4 linked regions of the Macaca mulatta genome follow. The protein of the gene in region 1 purifies or fractionates together with the protein of each later gene. This does not show direct contact. Links are inferred from orthologs where the notes say so. Each region holds a gene or a part of one and is shown in the gene's direction. Other genes may lie near its edges. The genes, in order: FAM98A, ATXN2, ATXN2L and NUFIP2.

What was found.
Region 2: the proteins of FAM98A (region 1) and ATXN2 purify together in Homo sapiens (co-immunoprecipitation; 3 studies listed by BioGRID and IntAct, counting the BioPlex papers as one, with this or other methods). This does not show direct contact. The link is inferred for Macaca mulatta from reciprocal best matches to the Homo sapiens genes FAM98A and ATXN2.
Region 3: the proteins of FAM98A (region 1) and ATXN2L purify together in Homo sapiens (co-immunoprecipitation; 3 studies listed by BioGRID and IntAct, with this or other methods). This does not show direct contact. The link is inferred for Macaca mulatta from reciprocal best matches to the Homo sapiens genes FAM98A and ATXN2L.
Region 4: the proteins of FAM98A (region 1) and NUFIP2 purify together in Homo sapiens (co-immunoprecipitation; 3 studies listed by BioGRID and IntAct, with this or other methods). This does not show direct contact. The link is inferred for Macaca mulatta from reciprocal best matches to the Homo sapiens genes FAM98A and NUFIP2.

Annotation. Positions count from the first base shown.
Region 1 is NC_133418.1:91,385,004-91,388,026, forward strand, and holds the end of FAM98A (protein FAM98A), read left to right. Parts: intron 1-435; coding exon 436-603; intron 604-688; coding exon 689-1,351; 3' UTR 1,352-2,463; downstream 2,464-3,023. UniProt on the Homo sapiens protein: Positively stimulates PRMT1-induced protein arginine methylation. Involved in skeletal homeostasis. Positively regulates lysosome peripheral distribution and ruffled border formation in osteoclasts.
Region 2 is NC_133416.1:118,797,190-118,801,347, reverse strand, and holds the start of ATXN2 (ataxin-2), read left to right. Parts: upstream 1-1,294; 5' UTR 1,295-1,578; coding exon 1,579-1,805; intron 1,806-4,158. UniProt on the Homo sapiens protein: Involved in EGFR trafficking, acting as negative regulator of endocytic EGFR internalization at the plasma membrane.
Region 3 is NC_133425.1:28,113,723-28,117,289, reverse strand, and holds part of ATXN2L (ataxin-2-like protein), read left to right. Parts: intron 1-212; coding exon 213-363; intron 364-832; coding exon 833-957; intron 958-3,372; coding exon 3,373-3,464; intron 3,465-3,567. UniProt on the Homo sapiens protein: Involved in the regulation of stress granule and P-body formation.
Region 4 is NC_133421.1:38,007,565-38,011,131, reverse strand, and holds part of NUFIP2 (FMR1-interacting protein NUFIP2), read left to right. Parts: intron 1-368; coding exon 369-2,093; exon of another isoform or gene 2,094-2,773; intron 2,774-3,567. UniProt on the Homo sapiens protein: Binds RNA.

The DNA of each region.
Region 1 (3,023 bases):
GTAAAGACCTTGGTCATTCAGCAGATACTTATTACCTCATAGAAACCAAAGATAGGAAAATTAAAAAGCAAAATTGTTGAAATAACTTTACATTCTTATATTTAAATAGAGAATATGAATATGTTCAATCTGAGACCAATGATGGGGGAACCTTTTTATCATGTTGGCCTCATAACCCTAAAGGGAAGCGCTCCCACTCCACCCCTGCCCTCACTGTCCCTGTCACTCCTTGTTGTGTCAACAAGTCTGGCAGCTGTACTTTTAAGGTAGTTCTTGTCTACATAGGAGCAGTAGTGAGTATATAACTTTTCCTACCATCTGGAGCCTAGTAAATATCATTATCAGATATTTTGGAGACTTTTAACTTATTTAATATGTGTTTCTTATGTCATTTTGAAAATTGATATTTCTCTTTGAACACTTTTCTTTCAACAGAGCCAGACAGAAAAATTAGCCAAGGTTTACCAGCCGAAACGTTCAGTCTTATCCCCTAAAAGTACTATTTCTGTTGCCCATCTTTTGGCTGCAAGGCAGGACTTGTCAAAGATTTTAAGGACAAGCAGCGGCTCTATAAGAGAAAAAACTGCCTGTGCCATCAATAAGGTGATTAGAGTACCTTTAATTTTTTCCAAATGCATTTATTTCTGTTCGTAAAATAAAAGTTTAAAATATCTTTCCTATTCTGTAGGTGTTGATGGGCAGGGTGCCTGACAGAGGTGGTAGACCCAATGAAATCGAACCTCCACCCCCAGAGATGCCACCATGGCAGAAGAGGCAAGATGGCCCCCAGCAGCAAACAGGAGGCCGAGGAGGAGGGAGAGGTGGCTATGAACATTCCTCATACGGAGGACGAGGAGGTCATGAACAAGGAGGCGGGAGAGGTGGACGTGGTGGCTATGACCATGGTGGCCGAGGGGGAGGAAGAGGAAATAAGCATCAAGGAGGCTGGACAGATGGAGGGAGTGGAGGAGGAGGTGGCTACCAAGATGGTGGTTATCGAGATTCAGGTTTCCAGCCAGGTGGCTATCATGGTGGCCACAGTGGTGGTTATCAAGGCGGAGGTTATGGTGGCTTCCAAACATCTTCATATACAGGAAGTGGATACCAGGGTGGTGGCTACCAGCAGGACAATAGATACCAAGATGGTGGGCACCACGGTGATCGTGGTGGTGGTCGTGGAGGGCGAGGGGGTCGTGGAGGGCGAGGGGGTCGTGCAGGCCAGGGAGGAGGCTGGGGAGGAAGAGGGAGCCAGAATTATCACCAAGGGGGTCAATTTGAACAGCATTTCCAGCATGGAGGTTATCAGTATAATCATTCTGGATTTGGGCAGGGAAGACATTATACTAGTTGAGGCTACCGAACCTTACATTTTGCTAGAGCTCAAGTAATAGAAACTTAGTTTCAGAATCCTGAATTCAGCACCTATTTTGAATTAATGTGAGACCACAGGTGGCAGGCAGATTCCTGCTTGGCATAAGCATTTGTAGGTCTTCATTCAATTCTGTTGGATTTTTTTATTGGACTTACATAATGCTGTTTATTTGAGAAACACATAACATCTCTCCTTTCTATGAAAAATTTTTTAAAAGGTGATTAAAATTGCCTTTAATTGACCAGTAGACTAATTCCACAGTCAGAACATGCATACTTTTTTGAAGCAATTACTTGAATAAGTAGTTTTCATGTTTTCAATATGCAGTTTTGAAAATGAGGATTCACCTAGACTTTTTTAGATTTACTACTAGGAAACCTTCCTCATATGAATAACCATTTATATGTGTTTTGCTTAAAGTATTCCAATGCCTATTTCCAAGCACAGTTCTGCCCCCGGTTGACTTTTATGCCACGTGTGCTTCATGATAGAACTTTTAGGTCAGTTCCTATTAAATGAGCTCTTCTGCAGATAGCACATTCAGTAGCCTTATTTTGTTGATGGAATACTGTATCATATGCTCAAATCTGAAAACCTTGAACACGGCCAAAATCCATAAAGATTATAAAAGCAAACTAAGTTGTGAACCTCTAGTACATGTAGGCATTTAGTTAAATATAGCAATTCAAACTGACCTGCATCCATCCAAAACAAATTCCTCCTTCAACCTTATTTTTACTTGAAATTTGCTAGAAGAAATAGCAAACCGAAATTTGTTTTATGCATGAGTTAATACCACTGGCTCAGCAAATACAAGTTAGTTTGCTTTAGGCAGGAGACTTTTTTTGTAATGGAAGAAATGCACTACAAAGTTAAGACAGATTTTTGCTAAGTGCAGGAGGCCCTTTATTATTGCTGCAGAAAACAAAAGCCTGGCTGAGTTGATGTTTTACATTCTCCCTTACTGAAATCTACATGACATGATGCTTCTTGCTGGGTTTTTGTACATGTAAACATTGTCAAGCTGTGAAAGAAAATGGCTGGAGGTGTGCTTTGTGTGAAAGGTGAGCAATAAAGTACCTGTTAAGTTCTCTCTTTGGTTTGAGTTTTATTTTAGCTACTGAATTATTCTGGACTCTTGCGTCAAGCTAATGAGCTAAGGCTTTTGTTCCCAAAGATTCTTGAGTATTTCCTTAAAATCTAATTGTAGTGAAAGGTGATTCTTACCCTAAAACCTTAAATAAATAGAAAAATGGCTCTTCAGGTTTTCCTTTTGTAAGAAGCAGCTAGAAACCGTCACTACTTATCTCTGGCCACTGGGTGTAGCTGTTGCTACACATACTAGGCAAAAATGTCTCAAGTTTTTAGGGTTTTTTTTGTTATTTGCTTCTCCATTCTTCCTAAGATTGGGGGACTTTTTTTTTAAAAAAGGAAGTAACTGAAAATATAAACATGTTTGTTAAAAGAGAAATTGTATTTTCTTTCTACTACTAAATTGGGCTTTTTAAAAGAATCAACTCATGCCATTTAAAATAATCTACTTGCTACTGAGATAAGCACATTCTTCTGATAACTAAAACCATCGCTTTTAACTTTACCTGTTTATTTTTCAGCTAACGTTTAAATTATTTTAAAATGTTCAAATTTGAAG
Region 2 (4,158 bases), on another chromosome or scaffold:
CTAGGAGGTTAATTTCAGTTGGGCTACTGAAAACTGCTGGTTCAATCATTCTCCACGTTTATCTAAGTCTTTACCTTTATCTGGGCAGTTCTAGGACATTGAGGGGAATTTTGGTGTTTCTTCCCCTATTATTTCCTGAAGTCCTTTCACTTTAAAAAAACAATAGATTCACTGCTAAAAAAATAAAAAGTTATCTACTTTCTACTTGCTTCCAGCTTAATTGCAACACATTTTTAAAAGGGTCTACTGTGCTGGCTGGTAAGTTAAATTAAAACTTCTAAAGGGTGCAAGGTCTAAAGTTCACACATTCTTGTGAGGTCGGCTCTGGCTCTACCGAGGGAGATCCTATTATCCGTGGTGCTAGCAGTCCCAGTCCCATATATTTCCTTTAGAATGTCACGAATGAGGAAAAAGAAGTTCAAACGAGGGAACGTAGGTTCAAATGAAGGTCAGATACCTAAAAGAGTTTTCTGGTGACTGTGTGCGGCTGGGGTGGAAAAAGTGGGGAAAAGGTACCCAGATGTGGGTGGCCCCGGAGGGTTGCTCCACTCCAGCCCCGGCAAGGGCAGGAGAGCGCGGCCTGCCTGGGAGATGCCCAGAGCCACTGGAGCGCCTACTATGTGCCAGGTGGGGACGGCAGGAAAACGGCGGGATGCTGTGTCCCCTGAGTCTGGCAGGGTTCTAGGTGCTTTACACGTAGCAAGACACATTCTCCGCCTCAAGGCACTCGCAGTCCGTTTTCTGGGTTGCATCAGGTGGGGGCAAACCAGGTCCCCGCAGAAGTGAGGACGCTGAAGGAATACAGTAGGGGAAAGAAATGCTTCCCTCTCGTCCTACACACCAGGCAGGCCCCAGAGGCTAAGACCGACACGCCCTCCCCGAAGGGCAGACCCGCCTCGAAGAGGGCGGATCCGGGTAGGGCCCGCGGCCGGGCCCTCAGCCGACCCCCGCGAAAGCGGCCCAGCGCGGCGCCCTCACGTGTCCCTCCCGGCCCCGGGGCCACTCACGTTCTGCTTCCGCCCGACCCCTCCGACTTCCGGTAAAGAGTCCCTACCGCACCTCCGCGCTCCCCCGGCGCCTCGGCGCGCCCGGCCTCCGATGCGCTCAGTGGCCGCAGCTCCTCGGAGTCCCGCGGCGGGCACCCAGTCTCGCCCCTTCGCCGCAGCCAACTGGCCCGGGTGGCGCTCGCTCCAGCGGCCGGCGCAGCGGAACGGGCGGGGCGGCGGTGGCGCGGCCTCTGGACAGTATCCCTCCGCCGCCCCTCCCCCGCCCGGCCCTGGCCCCCCTCCCTCCCGGCAGCGCTCGCCTCCCTCCGCCTCAGACTGTTTTGGTTGCAACGGCAACGGCGGTGGCGCGTTCCGGCCCGGCTCCCCGCAGCTCCTCGGTCTCGGCGGGCCTCCCCGCCCCTTCGTCGTCCTCCTTCTCCCCCGCGGCAGCCCGGGTGCCCCCCCGGCCGCGCCAACCCGCGCCTCCCTGCTCGGCGCCCGCGCGTCCCCGCCGCGCTCCGGCGTCTCCTCGGCGCGCCCGGCTCCCGGCTGTCCCCGCCCGGCGTGCGAGCCGGTGTATGGGCCCCTCACCATGTCGCTGAAGCCCCAGCAGCAGCAGCAGCAGCAGCAACAGCAGCAGCAGCAGCAGCAGCAGCCGCCTGCGGCTGCCAATGTCCGCAAGCCCGGCGGCAGCGGCCTTCTAGCGTCGCCCGCCGCCTCGCCTTCGCCGTCGTCGTCCTCGGTCTCCTCGTCCTCGGCCACGACTCCCTCCTCGGCGGCCGCGGCGACCTCCGGCGGCGGTAGGCCCGGCCTGGGCAGGTGGGTGTCGGCACGCCAGCCCCCTCCGCTCCGGTCCCGGCGTCCCCTCCCCCGCGGCCCGCGCCGCCGTCCCCGCCCCGTGACCCGCCGGGCTGCCCGGGGTGGGCCGGGGGCCGGCAGCGCGAGGGGGACTCGCTTGGGCCTGAGCCCCGAGGCTCTGCCGGGGGGCGCAGCCGGGGTCCTCTAGGATTGTCAGGCTTGTCCAGCCTCCCGCAGCATCCGCGCCCCCTCCCCCAGCGGTCAAGATGGAGGGAGCGGGCGGCCTCCCCTCCCCACGCGTGTTGGGAGGGGTTTTCGGGTAGCGGCGATGGTCAGCCCCGGATCCCCCTTCCCCACGATCCTCCGACCGCAGCGTGGGGATGCTCGGGCAGCGCCCCCACTACCAGTTCAGATGTGAACGTTGGAGGGGTCTAGAGGCTTTGATGTCGTTTTCTGGAACATGTGTCTCCCCCCTCACCCGCCATGGGAGACATCTCGGGAGGGGAGAAGTTAGGTCTGCGTCCCTCGTGCCTGTTAAAGGGGTAGGCACCGGGCTTCTCCGGAATCATCAGGGTCTGTCTGGGCTCTCTCCCCGCCCCCTCCCAGTCCTGGGAAAGATTGGAGGACCAGGTGGAGACAGGTGGGCCTTGGCCCCCGCACCTCTCCGCGTTCGAGTCCGAGGGCGCGGCGGGGGCTCCCGAACTCTCTTGGAATCGTGGGGCTCCGTGTGGCCTCCTGCAACGTTCCGCCCTCCCCCACTTGGGGAAGGGAAGGGGTGGGGAGTGCCCGGCCCCCTCCCGGCCTTCCTCCTTCCCCCGCCAGGCCTCTCCGGCGCGCGGGTGGTGGCCAATCCGCATTGCTGTTCGAGGCCACGGTGGAGAAGGCGCCTCTGAACAGCGGTGGGCGAGGGCCGGACCCAGGCTGGACCGGGGAGATCCGGGGCGGCAGTGCTGGTGGCAGGGGGCGGGCACCCTGCGCAGTTATCCCAACCCCCGCCCCAATTTCGGAAATGCTAGGAGAGAGAGATTGCAGCAGGGGACGTGGTGGGGATCCTGAAGGCAGAAATGCGGGTGTTTACTGGCGTCTTTTTTCCTCCTAAGCTGGGGTTGTGGTAGGGACTGGGGGCTCAGTGTTGTCCCGGCTAGCTGGGTTTGACTCGAGGGTGTGTTTGTGCAGGAGCGCCTGTTGGGGGTGGCGGGTGGTTGTCAGTTCGTATTTCGCGAACTAAGAAAATGCTTAGTGTTCAAAGGGAGAAGCAAACGTCAATAGACTCCATTCCATTGTGGCCGGTGTCCTTAACTTCGGGAGAGCCGCCAGAGCTTACCAAGGGCACGCAAGTCCATTTCCCCTGTGCCTCAAGTCCATCCGTGTTGCAGGCACTGCTGTGCCTTCCTTAGGCCTAGGCCGCCGTCTTGACAGGGCCGGTGACCGGCGTCCTCCTTAAATAGGCATCTTGGGCTTTGGAAGGTGGAATAAGAGGATTTTTCATTCACCTGAGTATTCTTTTTGAAAACACATTTTCAGCAACCCCTTTCCAAAGAATTTTTATTTACAGCAGAAATTCCCCATCAAGAGGAATCAGCTGGTTTTTAAGGAATTCTGCTGCCTTCAAAGGGGGCGGAAACAGTCGGTTGTTTGACTTTACACGCCCCGCCCACCCTTCCCCTTCTGTGAGTCTGAAGCATCCCAAACACTGCTTAGCCAAACTAGTTCAGATGAAGTGATCATTTCCCCAGGTAGAGGGTAAATTCAGTTTCCTTTTTTCGTTGGCATCTAGCAAAAAAATTTAAAATACAATGTTTATAGAAAAGGATGCATTCTGTTTTTACTTTCTTAGGTATTAGCAAGAGATTTGGCAGATATATTCAACATGTTCAAATATATAAACGTTAAAACTAACGTCGTTAAGTTGCATTGACTATGAGGCTTAAAAATTAGACTATAATAGAATTTGCACCTGAGTAGTTGGAGTGATCAAAGATATTTGGAATATTTTAGTACTACAAGGTCTTTTTTTCTGTTCCTTGAGGCTTTACAACAGTTTAAGGTTAATTTAGATTTTTCCGGCCGGGCGCGGTGGCTCAAGCCTGTAATCCCAGCACTTTGGGAGGCCGAGACGGGCGGATCACGAGGTCAGGAGATCGAGACCATCCTGGCTAACACAGTGAAACCCCGTCTCTACTAAAAATACAAAAACTTAGCCGGGCGAGGTGGCAGGCGCCTGTAGTCCCAGCTACTCGGGAGGCTGAGGCAGGAGAATGGCGTGAACCCGGGAGGCGGAGCTTGCAGTGAGCTGAGATCCGGCCACTGCACTCCAGCCTGGGTGACAGAGCGAGACTCCGTCTCAAAAAAAAAAAAAAAAAAAAAAAAAAAA
Region 3 (3,567 bases), on another chromosome or scaffold:
TACTTTTACGTTAAAGTATTTAAGTTTAAATTTTTGTGAGACTTTTGCTAAGTCCTGTGGCTGATGTTGAGAAAACAATGCACTTGGTTCTAAGCGTATTGAGGATGTAGTGTTGTGAAAAGTTCGGGAAGGGTTAGAGAAATCCAGTCCTAATTTTGCCTTCACATTTCTTGAAACTGACCCGTGGGTGTGGGGAATGGGGGTGTTTGTAGTTTGAACTAGCAGTGGATGCTGTGCACCGGAAAGCATCTGAGCCAGCAGGTGGCCCTCGTCGGGAGGACATTGTGGACACCATGGTGTTTAAGCCAAGTGATGTCATGCTCGTTCACTTCCGAAATGTTGACTTCAACTACGCTACTAAAGGTATCGTCCTAGGCTCTTACCTCAGACCTGCTCTGTGTGCATAGAGGACAGAGGGCAGTTTGTGTGCATGCAGGTGGAACAAGGTGATGTGTTTGGTTTATTTATTTTTTTTGCCTTAATACCTTTTCTTATTTTTTCTGAGCAAGGTGGGTGGATTTTTTTTTTCTTAAAAATATGTCTTGATGTCTAATATATAATGGAATGAATTCCAGCCTGTGTTGTGGTTCTTCATATTTTCTTTGCTTGTTTTTAATTTCTTTTTTCTTTGGAATCATAATCTTGATAGACTTCTTTTACTCTTCTTTTGCCTCCCCACCCCCTGGCCGTGCTGACACACAGGCACACGTACTCTGGGCTTCTTAAACTTTTCGTTCCTGAACTACTACTTATGGGGAGTGGGGTTGGGGGATATTGGAAAGAAGTCTGTGAAATAGGGCCTGACTGCTGATCTTCACCTCTTCCCCCACAGACAAGTTCACCGATTCAGCCATTGCCATGAACTCAAAAGTGAATGGGGAACACAAAGAGAAGGTGCTTCAGCGCTGGGAGGGGGGTGACAGCAACAGCGACGACTACGACCTCGAGTCCGACATGGTATAGCTGCCTTCCCTGAGAACCTGGGAGCTTGACAGACAGAATGGGTTGTTGACAGTGAGGTTCATTTGAAGGGGGAGGGAAATATTTACTGTTGCCCGTTGATGGTGGTCAGATAACAAATAGGCATAGAAAATAGCAAAGTAAAACTACCTATTCTCATCTGGGTGCAGTGGCTTATGCTTGTAATCCTAGCACTTTGGTAGGCCAAGGCCAGTGGGTCACTTGAGTCAAGGAGTTCGAGACCAGCACAGGCAACATGGCAAAACCCTGTCGCAACAAGATATATAAAAGCTAGCAAGGTTTGGTGGCATGTACCTGTAATCCCAGCTACTTGGGAGGCTGAGGTGGGAGGATCACTTGAGCCCAGGGAGGTCGAGGCTACAGTGAGCTGTGATCATACCACTGCACTCCAGCCTGACTGGACCCTGTCAAAAAAAAACCAAAACATCAACTTATTTTCTTACTATCTATAATTAACCATTCCTAGCATTTGCATTACATTATTTTTCAACATAACGAAAAGTATAGATTATCGTGTAGACCCGTTTCTCTTCCCAAAATCAGCTACTCTGAGACATTTAAAATCTCTCACGAGGCTGAGCACAATGGCTCATTCCTGTAGTCCCAGCTACTTAGGAGGCCAAGGCAGGAGGATCTCTTGAGCCCAGGAGTTTGAGACTGCAGTGAGCTGAGATTGTGCCACTGGACTCCAGTCTGAGCGACAGAGTGAGGCTATCTCAAAAAATAAAAATAAAAATCGCTCATGAATAGAGCTGAGCATGGTGGTCCCACACCTGTAGTCCCAGCTCCTCAGGAGGCTGAGGTAGGAGAATCATTTCAGGCTTTGGTGCACTACGATTGAACTTGTGAATGGCCACTGTGCTCCAGCCTGGGCATCATAGCAAGAATGTCTGTTGAGAAACAAATGTCTTGTGAATGAATATGTTATTGCTTTGTTATGTTTGGTTTGTACAAGAATTCGCTTTTTTTGCGTTTTCGAACTTCTCGTGGTGATACATAGATCTAGTTCTTTGCTTTTATTGTTGTGTAATGTTTTCTTTATATTCACACACATACGTATACGCAACAAATTGTATTTGTCCTTTTCGTTACTCATCTGCATTTTGTTTCTATTATTTTGCTACTAAAAATAGTACCTTGCTGGACTTTGAGAACTTGTATTCCCTACGCACATGTGCCAGAATTTTTCTGGGATGTCTTGGACATAGACTTGTTGGATTTTTTGACTTTTCAGGTTTACTAGTTATCACTAATTTCTGCTGCAATTGTTAGTAATTATTAACAGTTGCAGGCCGGGATCAGTGGCTCATGCCAGTAATCCCAGCACTTTGGGAGGCCAAGGCAGGCAGATCACCTGAGGTTGGGAGTTTAAGACCAACCTGACCAACATGGAGAAATCCCATCTCTACTAAAAATACAAAATTAGCTGGGTGTGGTGGCACATGCCATAATCCTAGCTACTGGCGAGGTTGAGGCAGGAGAATCGCTTGAACCCAGGAGATGGAGGTTGCGGTGAGCCAAGATGGTGCCGTTGCACTCCAGCCTGGGCAACGAGAATGAAACTCTGTCGCCAAAAAAAAAAAAAAAAATTGCAGTTAGTAATTACAATTATTAGTTGATTACTTTTGCCAGCCACATCCTTATTTTTTTTCACTGTTGTTCACTTATTTATTTATTTTTCAGACAGAATCTTGCTCTGTTGCCTGGGTTTTTGTTGTTGTTGTTTGTTTTGTTTTGTTTTTTGTTTGAGACAGGGTCTTGCTCCATCAACCAGGCTGGAGGCTGGAGTGCAGTGGCTCAATCTCAGCTCACTGCAACCTCTGCCTCCCAGGTTCAAGCGATTCTCCTGCCTCAGCTAGGACTGCAGGCATGCGCCACCACGGATGGCTAATTTTTTATTTTTAGTAGAGATGGGATTTCACCGTATTGGTCAGGTTGATCTCAAACTCCTGACCTCAGGTGATCCACCCACCTCCCAAAGTGCTGGGGTTACAGGCATGAGCCACCACCCCCAGCCAGTCGCCCAGGCCTGAGTACAGTGGTGCCATAATAGTTCACTGCAGCCTCAAACTCCTGGGCTCAAGTGATCCTCTCTCCTCACTCTCCTAAGTAGTAAGTAGCTAGGACCCCAGGCATGCACCACCACACCCACCTGTTTCATTATTTTTTTGTAGAGATGGACTCTTGCTGTGTTGCCTAGGCTGGCCTTAAACTCCTGGCCTCAGGAGATCGTCCTGCCTCAGCTTCCCAGACTACTGGGATTACAGGTTTCAGCCACTGTGCCCAGCCAATTTGGTCACATCTTAAGAGTTTTTAATCTGATGGAAGGGAAGTGACTTGTCAATGTTGCTTTTCTTGCTGGATTTTAAAACCTGCTTTCTCCCTCCCCAGTCCAATGGATGGGACCCCAATGAAATGTTCAAGTTTAATGAGGAGAACTACGGTGTGAAGACCACCTACGATAGCAGTCTTTCTTCTTATACGTGAGTGTCTTGGTGCTCTCTAGGTGATGTGTTGGTGATATGGGGTCACTAAGTGAAGACAGGTTTCCAGGAGAACATAGTTTTTGCTCCTTTTTCTCTGGGT
Region 4 (3,567 bases), on another chromosome or scaffold:
GCGAGACTCTGTCTCAAAAAAAAGAAAATTTTATAACAGCCTTGTGAGAGTGATGGGTAGATTGATTTTGTTAGATGAGAGGTATTTGGCATACTGCTTAAGAGGTCTTTTTTTCTGGCCTCAGACTTTGCTTTGAATTTTGGCTCAGTTCTACCTCTTGCTTTGCTTAGCAGTAGATTGCATTTCCTAGTCTGTGAAATGGGGCTGACAAGTGTCTTCTCATACAGATGTGAAATAATATAAAGCTACAGTTCATAGCATAGTGTCTAGCATACAGTAAATAAACATTTCTTAAATGTTAGGTATTAGTGTAATTTACATGTTGTGATTTTTTTTTTTTTAATAAACCGTTTTTTTCCCTCCCCTAGGCTATGGTGAACTAAACGGTAATGCTGGAGAAAGAGAAATCTCTTTAAAGAACCTGAGTTCTGATGAAGCCACCAACCCTATTTCCAGGGTCCTCAATGGCAACCAGCAAATTGTAGACACTAGCCTGAAGCAGACTGTAAAGGCCAACACCTTTGGGAAAGCAGGAATTAAAACCAAGAATTACATTCAGAAAAACAGTATGGACAAAAAGAATGGAAAGTCTTATGAAAATAAATCTGGAGAGAACCAGTCTGTAGATAAGTCTGATACTATACCAATTCCAAATGGTGTGGTAACAAATAATTCTGGCTATATTACTAATGGTTATATGGGTAAAGGAGCAGATAATGATGGTAGTGGATCTGAGAGTGGATATACAACTCCTAAAAAAAGGAAAGCTAGGCGCAATAGTGCTAAGGGTTGTGAAAACCTTAATATAGTACAGGACAAAATAATGCAACAAGAGACCACTGTCCCAACCTTAAAACAGGGACTTGAAACTTTCAAGCCTGACTATAGTGAACAAAAGGGAAATCGAGTAGATGGTTCGAAGCCCATTTGGAAGTATGAAACTGGGCCTGGAGGAACAAGTCGAGGAAAACCTGCTGTGGGTGATATGCTTCGGAAAAGCTCAGATAGTAAACCTGGTGTGAGCAGCAAAAAGTTTGATGATCGGCCCAAAGGAAAGCATGCTTCAGCTGTTGCCTCCAAAGAGGACTCATGGACCCTATTTAAACCACCCCCAGTTTTTCCAGTGGACAATAGCAGTGCTAAAATAGTTCCTAAAATAAGTTATGCAAGCAAAGTTAAGGAAAACCTCAACAAAACTATACAAAACTCTTCTGTGTCACCAACTTCATCTTCATCATCATCATCATCTACTGGGGAAACTCAGACCCAATCATCAAGTCGCTTGTCCCAGGTCCCTATGTCAGCGCTGAAATCTGTTACTTCTGCCAACTTTTCTAATGGGCCTGTTTTAGCAGGAACTGATGCAAATGTTTATCCTCCAGGGGGTCAGCCACTGCTAACTACTGCTGCTAATACTCTAACACCCGTCTCTTCTGGGACAGATTCAGTTCTCCAGGACATGAGTCTAACTTCAGCAGCTGTTGAACAAATTAAGACTAGCCTTTTTATCTATCCTTCAAATATGCAAACTATGCTGTTGAGCACAGCACAAGTGGATCTGCCCTCTCAGACAGATCAGCAAAACCTGGGGGATATCTTCCAGAATCAGTGGGGTTTATCATTTATAAATGAGCCCAGTGCTGGCCCTGAGACTGTTATTGGGAAGTCATCAGAGCATAAAGTGATGGAGGTGACATTTCAAGGAGAATATCCTGCCACTTTGGTTTCACAGGGTGCTGAAATAATTCCCTCAGGAACTGAGCATCCTGTGTTTCCCAAGGCTTATGAGCTGGAGAAACGGACTAGTCCTCAAGTTCTGGGTAGCATTCTAAAATCTGGGACTACTAGTGAGAGTGGAGCCTTATCCTTGGAACCCAGTCATATAGGTGACCTGCAGAAAGCAGACACCAGTAGTCAAGGTGCTTTAGTGTTTCTCTCAAAGGACTACGAGATAGAAAATCAAAATCCTCTGGCCTCTCCTACGAACACTTTGTTAGGCTCTGCCAAAGAACAGAGATACCAGAGAGGCCTAGAAAGGAATGATAGCTGGGGTTCATTTGACCTGAGGGCTGCTATTGTATATCACACTAAAGGTAACTCATTTGTTTCCTATGCAAAGATTTTTATTGGCCAATTTAGTATATTAAGAATTTTAAGAGAATTAGTTGTTCATATTAAGAGTATTTTAAGAGAATGACAATGTGGATAAGCAACTAACATCAAACTGATTCAGGGTCTTTGGAACTAGTATGATTAAAACTTAGAAGAAATGTTCACTTTTCCAACTTAAAATGGTTTTTAAAAATACAAACATAATTGATCTACCTGGTTCAAAGAAGTGAGGAGAACTTGCTTAAAGGTGTTGATGTTATATTTTCTTTTGACCGAGTGCTTTAAAAAAAATTTTATTGAACATATGTTCTCTTTCCTTTGCTTTTTTGTTTCTCCTTTGCTTTTTGTTTGTTTTTTCTTTGAGAGGGAGTCTCACTCTGTTGCCAGGCTGGAGTGCAGTGGTGTAATCCCGGCTCACTGCAACCTCCACCTCCCAGGTTCAAGCGATTCTCCTTCCTCAGCCTCCTGAGTCGCTGAGATTACAGGCACGTGCCACCACGCCCGGCTAGTTTTTGTATTTTTAGTAGAGATGGGGTTTCACCGTGTTGGCAGGATGGTCTCAATCTCTTGACCTTGTGATCCACCTGCCTTGGCCTCCCAAAGTGCTGGGATTACAGGTGTGAGCCACCGCGCCCAGCTTCTTGTTTGTTTTTGAGACGGAGTCTCTCTTGCCCAGGCTGGAGTGCAGTGGTGGGATCTTGGCTCACCGCAGCCTCTGCCTCCTGGGTTCAAGTGATTTTCCTGCCTCAGCCTCCCGAGTAGCTGGGATTACAGCCATGTGCCACCATGCCCAGCTTATTTTTGTATTTTTAGGAGAGACTGGTTTCACCATGGTGGCCAGGCTGGTCTCAAACTCCTGACCTCGTGATCTGCCTCCCTCTGCTTCCCAAAGTGCTGGGATTACAGGTGTGAGCCACTGCGCCCAGCTTCTCCTTTGCTTTTTGTATCATATGCTTCTTTATTAGTGAGCTCATTTAGTAGTTCTAATTTGCTTAAAATGAGTAGAAGCACTATTTTTGAAGAGGAGTCTGATAAGTCTTAAAAGGAGTAATGGATGCCAATTTGTAACTAGAAAATAAGTTAGACAAATTACAATGTCAAGCATGATAAGCATAATCAAGACCAGGCTCTTGGGAGTCTCCTTTCTATAGCCCCAAAGCCCAAGTTTAAAGGGAACGAGATATCTTTCAAGTTTCACGCTAGTAACTCTCTTTCTTTTCTTTTTTTTTTTTTTTTTTGAGATGGAGTCTCGCTCTTGTCTCCCAGGCTGGAGTTCGGTGGCGTGATCTTGACTCACTGCAACCTCTGCCTCCCGGGTTCAAGCGATTCTCCTGCCTCAGCCTCGCACATAGCTGGGATTACAGGCGCCCACCATCACGCCTGGCTAATTTTTGTATTTTTAGTACACACGGGGTTTCCCCATGTTGGCCAGGCTGGTCTCAAACTCCTGACCTC